Oryctolagus cuniculus: one gene and its partner. Each later gene encodes a partner of the first gene's protein in a complex. Links are inferred from orthologs where the notes say so. Each region holds a gene or a part of one and is shown in the gene's direction. Other genes may lie near its edges. The genes, in order: ARHGEF7 and SHANK1.

Region 1 (6,199 bases):
CTGGTCTCAGCAGCATTGAAAACCTGCTCTCCAACACAGCCCTCTTCATGTGTAACACCAGCAGGTACTTTTAAGATTCTGCGGCCTCTTGGTCTGCAGCACCATCCTTGTCTGCAAGCTCAGAATTGCTCATGCTGTGCCACATCTGACACGCGTGCCAGCCCCGACTAGCCGAGAGGGGCTTCGCGTGTTCTTGACCTGAGCAGTGGGACTGCACATCTCTGGCTTTCAGCCTCACCACAGCGCTGTCTACTGTGCTTTAACTGTCAGCGTCTCATAAAGCCACGAATTCCGTCGTTTTCCCACCTTCTCCGTAGCTTCATCACGCACTGCAGATGGGACCGCAGCACCGTCTGGAGCGGCCTCCCGTACAGGTTGATGGATCTGCTCCTCTTTCTGGATGTATCTATGGCTGACTCGTTCAGTGGAACTCCAGGCCAACAGCACTGATCTAACACACGTGTTTCCTGTGAGGCACATCACAACTTCCTTGTTTGGGGCCTCTAGACAGCACTTCAGCACTACGCTCGGGGGCCATGACACAGCAGGTCATCAACAGAAGGTCCAGACGTGAAGAACAAGGCACTAGATAGGCCGAGGAGAGGACAGGTGTTCACAGAGGCAGAACGAGGAAACAGCATGGCCTTGCCCCGGCCAGCTGGCCACGTGCACGTGAGCAGCCAGGGGAGGTCACAGCCAGTGTGGATGGTGACGGCCTTTGTTGGGTCCCTTGCAAAATGACATCAAGCACGAGAACAGATTACATTAGGATGTGGTTCTGTGGGGGAAGTGCAATGAAAAGGAGTTAGAGACTGACTTTTACAGAAGAGCTTGTTTATAGAATTTTTAGTTGCAGGCTATTACCTGTATTTTAATTCCATTGGGTGTATTTAAAAAAAAGATGTAATTTTTATTTTAAAGTGTCATTATGAGAATGTCAGAAATTAACTTTGCAACCGCAAAACCACGGTGAAGGAGTTCGGGTTTGAGCTACGCGTATGGCACACAACTTCTGAGAGGAGCAAAACGGGCCAGGAGCAGCTCATCCCCTGACCAGACACCGGCTGTTTGCAGGAGACCCGCGGCACTGTGTCCTGACGACTGTTCCACTGGGGGGCGGGGGGGGGGGGCTCCAATCCGAGACAGCCCGGCGTCCCGAACACCGGGCTTCGGTATGGGATTCTCCGCGACCCGCGCGGCTGGAGAGGGACCCGCAGTGTTCCCGAGAGGCCTGGCGCAATCTCGGCTCCCGGTGCCACAGCCCGGGAACTTTCTTCGTGGCCGGGCACGCGGCCCGCAGCCCCGATCTCTCGGGCTTCTCCTCGGGTGGGCCCCGCTTCCTCGGCTCACGCGTGCAGCCCCGCACGCACGCTCGGGCCGCAGCCGGCTGTCTGACCGTTCGGGGGGCACAGGGCCGGTGCCGGGGAAGACGACGACCACCCGCTTCGGTCCCGGCGTGCGGAGCTCACGGGGCTTGTCCCGCAGAGCCTCGGCGTTCGGAGGACCCCCACACTCGCCCTCGGCGCCGCGGGTCCGGGCCCAGCCCTTCGGGCGATGCCCAAGTAGCCCAGGCCCAGCTCTCAGGGTCCCCCCAGGCCGGGCGGTGTCCGCTTCGGTGAGGCCCAGGTCCAGGCTCGGGGCGGAGGCGGTGGCCGCACGTGCGGGGCTGTCTGCGGGGCCCACGACCACCCGCCGAGAGGAGGCGGCTGCTTGCTCCGGGCGGCCTGTGTCCGCTGTGTATGGCTGGGGTCCGGCTCCAGGTGGCCGGCGTCCACGGGGCGAGGCTGGGGTCTGGGGTCCGGGGTTCGGGCGGCCTGCGTCCGAGGGGCGAGGCTGGGGTCTGGGGTCCGGGGTCCGGGTGGCCTGCGTCCGAGGGGCGAGGCTGGGGTCTGGGGTCCGGGGTTCAGGCGGCCTGCGTCCGAGGGGCGAGGCTGGGGTCCGGGTCCGGGGTCCGGGTGGCCTGCGTCTGAGGGGCGAGGCTGGGGTCCGGAGTCCGGGTGGCCTGCGTCCGCGGGGCGAGGCCGGGGTCCGGCTCCAGGTGGCCGGTGTCCGAGGAGCGAGGTTGGGGTCCGGGTCCGGGGTCCGGGCGGCCTGCGTCTGCGGGGCGAGGCTGGGGTCCGGCTCCGGGGTTCGGGCGGCCTGCGTCCGCGGGGCAAGGCTGGGGTCCGGGTCCGGGAGGCCTGCGTCCGCGGGGCGAGGCCGGGGTCCGGCTCCGGGAGGCCCGCGTCCGAGGGGCGAGGCCGGGGTCCGGGGTCCGGCTCCGGGTGGTCTGCGTCCGAGGGGCGAGGCTGGGGTCCGGGGTCCGGCTCCGGGTGGCCTGCGTCCGCGGAGCGAGGCCGGGGTCCGGCTCCGGGAGGCCTGCGTCCGCGGGCCGAGGCCGGGGCCCGGGTCCGGGTGGCCGGCGTCCGAGGGGCGAGGCCGGGGCCCGGGTCCGGGTGGCCGGCGTCCGCGGTGCTTGGCTGGGGTCCGAGGCCGGGGCCCGGGTCCGGGGGCCGCGACCGGGGCCCGCGCGGCGCTGACCCGCGCCGGCCGGAAGAGGCCGCGCGCGCGGGCTGGCGGGGGCGCGGCCTGAGCGCGTCACTTCCGGCCCCGCCCCGTCTTCCTGGTGCGGGCAGGGGCCGAGATTGGTGCAGCGGAGGAAGCGGAGAGGTGCGGGCGGCGGCGGCGGGGCCTGGCGGGGCACGGGCCCGCGGCCGCGCGGCCTCAGCGCTGTGTCTGTGTTGCAGGTCTTCCCGGAGCCGCGGAGCGAGAGCGAGTGCCTGAGCAACATCCGCGAGTTCCTGCGCGGCTGCGGGGCCTCCCTGCGCCTGGAGGTGAGCGGGCGGGCGGCGCGTGGGCGTGGGCGGCGGCGGGGCGCGGGCCCCGCCGTGCGGGAGCGGCTTGCTGCCCGCCGCGGGCCCGCCCGGCCGTGCGGGAGGCGGCTGCCGGGGCTCCGCGCGGCAGCGGCGTGCGGGGCTGGCTGGGTGCGCGGGGGTCTCGTGGCCCGCGGCGCCCCCGCGCCCTCACGCCGGGCGTCTGCGGGTTGGCGCGGCGCGAGTCGGAAGGCTTCTCGGAGGGGCCCCGGTGGGCGGGAGCGCTGGCGGCCGCCGTGGGTTTCTGGGGGGACGCGGGGCCCGGGCGGGGCTGTTGCGTGAGCGGGCGGGGCCGGAGGCGTGGGCAGCGTCCCGGCGCGAGTTCCCGGTAGCTGCCGTGCCGGGCGCAGCTGTCAGCCCCCTGGATCCGTGCGGGGCTCGCGTTGCCGCGGTCCCCAGCCGGCGTCTGCAGGTTGGTTATTTCTACGGCGCTGGTTCACTCCCCAGGTGGCCGCCAGGGCCAGCGCTGGGCGGAGCCAGGAGCTTCCTCCGGGTCTCCCACGCGGGTGCAGGGCCCAAGCACCTGGGCCATCCTCTATTGCCTTCCCGGGCCACAGCAGAGGGCTGGACTGGAAGAGGAGCAACCGGGACTCGAACCCGCGCCCGTGGCGGCTTTGGCGCCCTGCCGCAGCGTCAGTGTGCGCTAGAGCCCCCTGCTCCGCTCTCCCCGGGTTACCGGGGGCTTCCTGCGGGCTGCTCTGTGGTTCCAGTGCACTTGGAGACCCCTGGAAGGGAGCCTGGCACGCAGTGGGCCTGCGAGAAATGTTTGCGACCCACGGGCGAGCTTGAACTTGTGGTCGTGGAAGGTTCCCTCTAAAGAGAAAAGTCGGTCATGACCGACCTTGTGCCGTTTTCAAAGTTTCTGTCTCAGTAAATTCAAACTGCAGTAGCCGCAAGCGTTGGTCTTTCAGGCTTCGTGTGAATCGCACTGAAAACTCGTGCTTACCTAAGAGGCAATGAAAATTGAAAAAGACAGGGAAACAGTACTTCAGAATCTCGGGCTGTCACTTTTTGGAAGTGACCTGGAGAGAGGGAATTCTGTGTGGGGGAGGGGAGGCTGCTGCTCCTCCCTGTGTCCTTGGGAGCTGGGGTGTGAGGACCAGGCCACGCCCGGGAGAAGCTGTCCCCACTGTCAGGGCCAGGCCACGCCCAGGAGAACCTGTCCCCCACTGTGAGGGCCAGGCCACGCCCAGGAGAAGCTGTCCCCCACTGTGAGGGCCAGGCCACGCCTGGGAGAAGCTGTCCCCCACTGTCAGGGCCAGACTACGCCTGGGGGAACCTGTCCCCCACTGTGAGGGCCAGGCCATGCCTGGGAGAAGCTGTCCCCCACTGTGAGGGCCAGGCTACTGCCCCGGGGAACCTGTCCCCCACTGTGAGGGCCAGGCCACGCCCAGGAGAACCTGTCCCCCACTGTGAGGGCCAGGCCACGCCTGGGAGAAGCTGTCCCCCACTGTGAGGGCCAGACCACGCCCGGGGGAACCTGTCCCCCACTGTGAGGGCCAGGCCACGCCTGGGAGAAGCTGTCCCCCACTGTGAGGGCCAGGCCACTGCCCGGGGGAACCTGTCCCCCACTGTGAGGGCCAGGCCACGCCTGGGAGAAGCTGTCCCCCACTGTGAGGGCCAGACCACGCCCGGGGGAACCTGTCCCCCACTGTGAGGGCCAGGCCACGCCTGGGGGAACCTGTCCCCCACTGTGAGGGCCAGGCCACGCCTGGGAGAACCTGTCCCCACTGTGAGGGCCAGACCACTGCCCCGGGGAACCTGGTCCCCCACTGTGAGGGCCAGGCCATGCCTGGGAGAAGCTGTCCCCCACTGTGAGGACCAGGCCACTGCCTGGGGGAACCTGTCCCCCACTGTGAGGGCCAGGCCACTGCCCAGGGGAACCTGGTCCCCCACGAGGGTGCAGGAAGCAGTGTAGACCTGGGACTTGGGAGGTTGTTCTAGGATTTTCCATTTCACTTGCACAAAATTCTGAGAGGGGAGATGGGAGACGTTTGGGAATTACAGACGTGAAAGCTAAAACAGCTTCGATTCGGCATTTGTTTCTGTCCTGTCGTCATAAATGTCACGGTGCTCGTGTCCAGGGCTACCTTAGACTGTTGTGTTTGTAGCAAACCGTTTTTGTTACATGTATTTTCATGTTTATGCTGGTTTCAGTTTTCTGGATATTAGGAATAGAGGACCTGGACTTCATGGTCACTGTATTAGCTGTTCTTTTTTAGAACTTGTGTTTGTTTGAAAGGCAGGGAGATAGGTAGAGATTTGCCATCTGCTGGTTCGTTCCCCAAATGCCCAGAACACCGGGGTCTGGGTCAGACTAGCCAGGAGCTGGGACTCACCCGGGCTCTCCCAGGTGGGTGGTGGGGACGCAGGTGATGCCTGAGCTGCCTCCTGGAGTGAGTGTCGGGAGCCAGGACTCAGCCAGGCGCTCTGGTGGGGGACGTCGGCGTCCTGAGGGGTGACTTGACCGCTGCCTCTGTTAGCTGTTTTAATTCGTATGTACCTGGTTCGCTGTGGACATCAGGTGTTGTCCCCAGATGAGCTCTGACTAGAAAAGGTCTTTGCCTCTGTTTTGTAGCCTGAGCACTGTGCTGTAGCTGTTAGACACTGGGCAGTTGTGTGCCTCTGACCTGTGACCCCTTTGTCTTCCTGCAGTGTTTTCTTCTACTCTGCACGTGCCCTTTGCGAGTCTTTTTTTGTCTGGTTAGGACAGAATGGCCACAGTAAGGACACGGATCCCGATAGGTTGAGTTTCACTGAAGGAGAAATGGCAGGCGGTCGGCAGATGAGGCCGCCGCAGAGAGACCAGGGGGAGTTCTCCTGGCTGGTTCCTGCGTGCCGCGGCGTGGCTGTGTGCCTGCGTTCACACGGTCACAGACCTTCAGCCTGCGCGGGTTCTCGTCCGAACACCACGGACGCAGGTGAGCTGTCGGCAGAGGAAGTGCTGGGCTCCCAGGAGCGGGCTGTGTGGCTAGAGCCCCCACACCTGTCCTGTTTGCCCGCCAGGGTGCCAGCTTCATTCATTTTGCCCCAGATTGATAGCATGTCGTGTGGTGGGTGTTAGCAACAAAATTGTTGACTTAGCTCTGTTGAAAAGAAAAAAAGCCTGCTGCTGTCAGTATTTAGTTTTATTCCCAGTATTTAGTAACACGTAATACTCAGTTCTGAACCAGACTGTGAAAGGTGGACAGAAGAGATGGGCTTCCACCTTGTAAGCTCAGGTACTTCAGTTTGTCGACTTCCCATGCTGGCGCCTAGTCCAGTGTGTACTTAGAAGGGGGAGCCAGCCTCGTGCGTGTCTCCCAGATGTCTCAGTGTCCTGGTGCAGTCCTCCACCCAGAAGGAAT
Region 2 (4,004 bases), on another chromosome or scaffold:
CCCGACACGAGCGGGCGGACCCACCTTCCAGGCGGCCGTGCTCGCGCTCGGCGCGACCCTGCGCCTGCTGCAGGGCGTGCACGGCCTCGTCGGTGTCGCCCGCCGCCTTCCGCAGCTGCCGCAGCCCCTGGGTCAGCTCGACCACGCGGGTGTCCAGCGCGTGCAGACGGACGTGCAGCTGGTGCAGGCCTGCGTCCAGGCCGGCCAGGCGGCCCACTGTGGATGGACAGGGCGCGCCGCTGGAGAGGGGCCTGGGGTGGGGGGCGGGGGACCGGGACCCCTGGGAGAGTGGAGGTCCGGCGGCCTGGGTTCTGGGGAGGCAAGGCCGGGGGCTGGGCGGTGGGCCACCGAGCTGGTTACTCACAGATGTAAGTGACCGTGTCCTCAGGGGTGGGCGAGGGGCTGGGGCTGGGGCTGGGGCTGGGGCTGGGGTCCGGAGCCAGTGTTGCCTCCTCTTCCTTGTCCTCCACCTGGTCGTCTTCAGGCCCCCAGACCCCTTCGCCTGCAGGGATTCCGGGGGGATCCTCGTCCCCCGTGGTAGCAGGCAACCCCAGAGCCTCTTGCAAATGCTGGGGCAGGGAGGAGAGCTCAGGGCCACCCCGTCCTCCCCAGCTGCCCCCTCCTCCCCCCTCCAGCCCCCAGTTCACTCTCTGAAGCCGAGTCCTTTCTAGGAACCCCCACCCCACCCCTGCAGACTCTCACCCGGACCCCAGCACTCCCCGCCCTTTTCCCAACCCTACGTCTCCCCCCACCTTCACCTTAAGCATCAGGGCCTCTCTCTGTCGCTCCTCCTCCTGGGCCCCACCCCAGCCTCCTTCCCACTCCCTCTCAGCTCCCCGAGCCCCCTGGCCAAGGGCCAAGAGCTGGGGGACCACCAGGGCCCCAAAGAGCCAGGCCGCCTGCATCGGGCTGGGCTCTCAGCACCCAAGGGCGCAGGGAAGCGGGGTGGGGGTGCCTCTGGGGACCACCGAGTGCCCCGGCCCCCGCCTCTGCAGCGTCTCCTGACCGGCTCCCGCGACTCCCAGACTCCCGGCTCTGTCTGTTGGTCTCCGCTCCTCTGTGTGTGTCTCTCCCCGCCCTCTTGGCTCCCACGAGGCCCTGCCTCTGTGGCCGGAAACCTCCAACGTTCCAAAGCCTGGATCCCGCCTCGGGTCTCCCCCCACGCCCTCCAGAGCTCGCTTCCGCCTGCTCTTTCCCTCTGCCTGGGAGCAGGAAGGGCCGTGGCCAGTTCTCCGAGGGACCTCAGGACCAGCCTCGGCCCAGGAACCCCTGGGCACCCACAGGGCAATGGGGGGACCCAGGGGCTGGGCCCTCTCTCCTTCCCCCTTCCCAGCCATTCCTGGGGTGGGGGGAGACCACAGGGTCTCCCTAGGTTGCTATTATCCTGTGGCCACCGGCGCCCACACCCCCTGATGCTCGCATTCCTGCACTGGTCTCAGACTGCGGGGATGGCCGGCCCCTGCCCTCCAAGCCCTCGGCGACGACCAGAGCGGGTGCGTGTGCGTTTCTGCGGGTGCACGTGACGGGCACGCGTGTGGCTGTGTGGGTGTCCCAGGAAGGTGGGGCTCTGCGGGTCGCTGGCCACACTTTGCTGGAGGCCTCTGCAGGCTGGGCCGTGCTGGGGACCCAGACGCTCAGAGCAAGCAGAGGGGCCGGCAGTGGGCCAGGGGGAGGGGCTGGGAGGCAGTGGGGGTGGGAGCCGCCGGGAGCTGGACAGGCGTCGGGCCCAGCCTGGACCACTGCAGCAGGCTCCTCCCTGCCCTCCCCCCTCGCGCCTGAGCCCCTCCTGCCGCAGCCGGAGCAATCCTTCCAAACCATAAATCAGATCCCATCACCCCCCACTCCCCGGCGCCCCCACCTTCCCATCAGAAGCAGGAGGGGAGCCAGACTGCTCCAGGCGGCGGGGGGGCTGGGCCCCCTCACGCCAGGACGCAGCTCCCCTCGTCCCCTCCCACCCACCCCGGCTCTCTGTGCTGGCTTCTCTGCCGTTCTCCACCTCAAAGCCTTGGCCCCCAGCCTTTTATTCCTTCTAGAAAGTTCTCCCCCACCCCTCCCCCCAATCACCTGGTTTAAGAGGATTTCATTCCACAAGTCTCTCTCTCTCTCTCTCTCTCTATATATATATATATATATTTAATTTTTAAAGATTTATTTTATTTGAAAGGAAAAGTGACAGAGGGAAGGAGAGACAACGAGACTGTTCCATCCTCTCCCGAAATGGCCACAAAGGCCGGGCTGCCAGGAGCCGGGCTCTCCGTCCGGCTCTCCCACAGGGCTGGCAGGGGCCAAGCATTTGGCCAGTGTCATCTGCCCTCCCAGGCACCTTCGCAGGGAGCTGGGGTGGAGGCAGAGCCGCCGGGACTCCAGCCAGTGCCTCGCAGTGTGGAAGCCGGCCTCACTGGCTGCAGCTTCACCCACGGCCCTGACGAGGTACCGGATTCAAATGCCCCGTTTTATTTTTGCCATCGCCAAGACTGGCACCATCTTGTCCATTACCATCTTCCTGCCGCCAGCAAAGACAGGAAGTCTTTATTTTTTTCCCCCCAAGATTCGTAAATTTATTTGAAAGGCAAAGTTAGAGAGAGAGGGAGAGGTCTTCCATCCACTGGTTCACTCCCCAGATGGCTAGGGCAGGGCCAGGCCCAAGCCAGGAGCCTGGAGCTCCATCCAGGTCTCCCACGTGGGTGCAGGGGCCCAAGAATTTGGGCCACCTTCTCCTGCCTTTCCCAAGCAGTAGCAGGGAGCTGGATCGGAAGAGGAGCAGCGGGGACTTGAACTGGTGTCCATACGGGATGCCGGCGCCGCAGGCCGAGGTTTACCCTACTACACCACGGCCCTGGCCCAGGCAGGAACTCTTATGCACGGCTGTATCCCTAGGCCTAGATCAAGGCCTGGTTGGCACACAGTAGGTGCTGTGTGGCAGGGTAACAGCTTGGTCAAAGGCCCCTGGGCTTAGGTGCTGGCTGCAGCAGGGACAGAGGTGGTACAGGTAGGGGGAGGAGGCCGTGGCACTGTAGTGCCAGGCTCATGCCTCACAGCCTCACCCTGGCTGTCCGACGGGCCCGGGGCTCGTTAGGCGGGGGTCAAGGGGCCCGCTCTCCAAAGAAGGGGACCACACAGCCCACCACAGCTCACCAGCATGGTGGCAGGTAGCCGAGGCTTGGGGGCTGCCCCAGGAGTGGCGCGGGAGCCCAAAGCACCCAGCATTCCGTTTTCCAAGAAAGCCTGGACGCAGGAGGGCAGTGTGACCTTGGGCGGTGCAGGCGCTGCGGGGCGGGCCCGTGGGCCCCCCACCGAGGGGCCAGCCCTGGAGAGATGCCTCGCCTGGAGCAGAGCCTGGCCAGGAGCCGGGGGTGCAGAACCTCTTGCCGCTGTGCCGCTGCCGATGCAGGCAGCTGTTCCCGCCCGGAGCCCAGCTGCTCACCACCTGGCTTGCTGGGTGCGTCGAGATGGGGCCTTCCTAGCCCAGGCAGGCACTGAGGTGCCCCAGAGAGCCTGCAGCTGCAGGGGAACCCAGACCTGCGCCCTGCGGGAGCCTGTGCCCAGCTCGTGGCCCTGGAGGTGGCAGCCTGGGTCTCCACTGCCCGGGGGACCTGCCCTGTCTCGGGGGTGTGTCTCGGGCACAGGTGAGCTGTGGGCACACCGTCAGCCACAAGTACACGTGCATATCCCCTGTGGCCAGGGGTGCCCAACAGTGCGCACAGAGGACTTTGGGGCCAGCGTTCCTGTCCCCGGTCCTCAGCACCATCTCTTTGGAGCCAGGCGGCCCTGCACCAGTTCCATAGCCGCTCCGTGCCTCGGTTTCCCCTCTGGAAGACGGCAATGGGGAAGGTGGTTCAGAATGGGTGCGTGGGCCACAGCTCCAGCGGAGTGGGCGGTGACGGTCCCAGAGGGGGAGCCGCTGCGGGGGGGGGGGGGAGCTGTGGCCGCTCCCACCTGGGCACGGGGCCTGAGATGCCCGGAAGGCAAGCCTCCACCCACACCCACACCCCACCCCCGTTGTG

The links.
Region 2: the proteins of ARHGEF7 (region 1) and SHANK1 are in contact, whole or in part, in a crystal structure (PDB 3L4F), measured with the Rattus norvegicus proteins. The link is inferred for Oryctolagus cuniculus from reciprocal best matches to the Homo sapiens genes ARHGEF7 and SHANK1. Residues at the interface, in XP_063131056.1 of Rattus norvegicus: Asp735, Ala737, Trp738, Asp739, Glu740, Thr741, Asn742, Leu743; in NP_113939.2 of Rattus norvegicus: Gly673, Phe674, Gly675, Phe676, Val677, Leu678, Arg679, Gly680, Ala681, Lys682, Phe696, Glu703, His735, Arg736, Val739, Ile742.

The regions. Positions count from the first base shown.
Region 1 is NC_091440.1:2,138,949-2,145,147, reverse strand, and holds part of ARHGEF7 (rho guanine nucleotide exchange factor 7), read left to right. Parts: 5' UTR 1-1,174; coding exon 1,175-1,615; intron 1,616-2,550; exon of another isoform or gene 2,551-2,649; intron 2,650-2,690; exon of another isoform or gene 2,691-2,726; coding exon 2,727-2,813; intron 2,814-6,199. UniProt on the Homo sapiens protein: Acts as a RAC1 guanine nucleotide exchange factor (GEF) and can induce membrane ruffling. Functions in cell migration, attachment and cell spreading. Promotes targeting of RAC1 to focal adhesions. May function as a positive regulator of apoptosis.
Region 2 is NC_091449.1:7,268,022-7,272,025, forward strand, and holds the start of SHANK1 (SH3 and multiple ankyrin repeat domains protein 1), read left to right. Parts: upstream 1-1,204; 5' UTR 1,205-1,493; intron 1,494-4,004. Other genes in the region: CLEC11A (C-type lectin domain family 11 member A), read right to left, coding at 25-216, 365-569, 759-905. UniProt on the Homo sapiens protein: Seems to be an adapter protein in the postsynaptic density (PSD) of excitatory synapses that interconnects receptors of the postsynaptic membrane including NMDA-type and metabotropic glutamate receptors via complexes with GKAP/PSD-95 and Homer, respectively, and the actin-based cytoskeleton.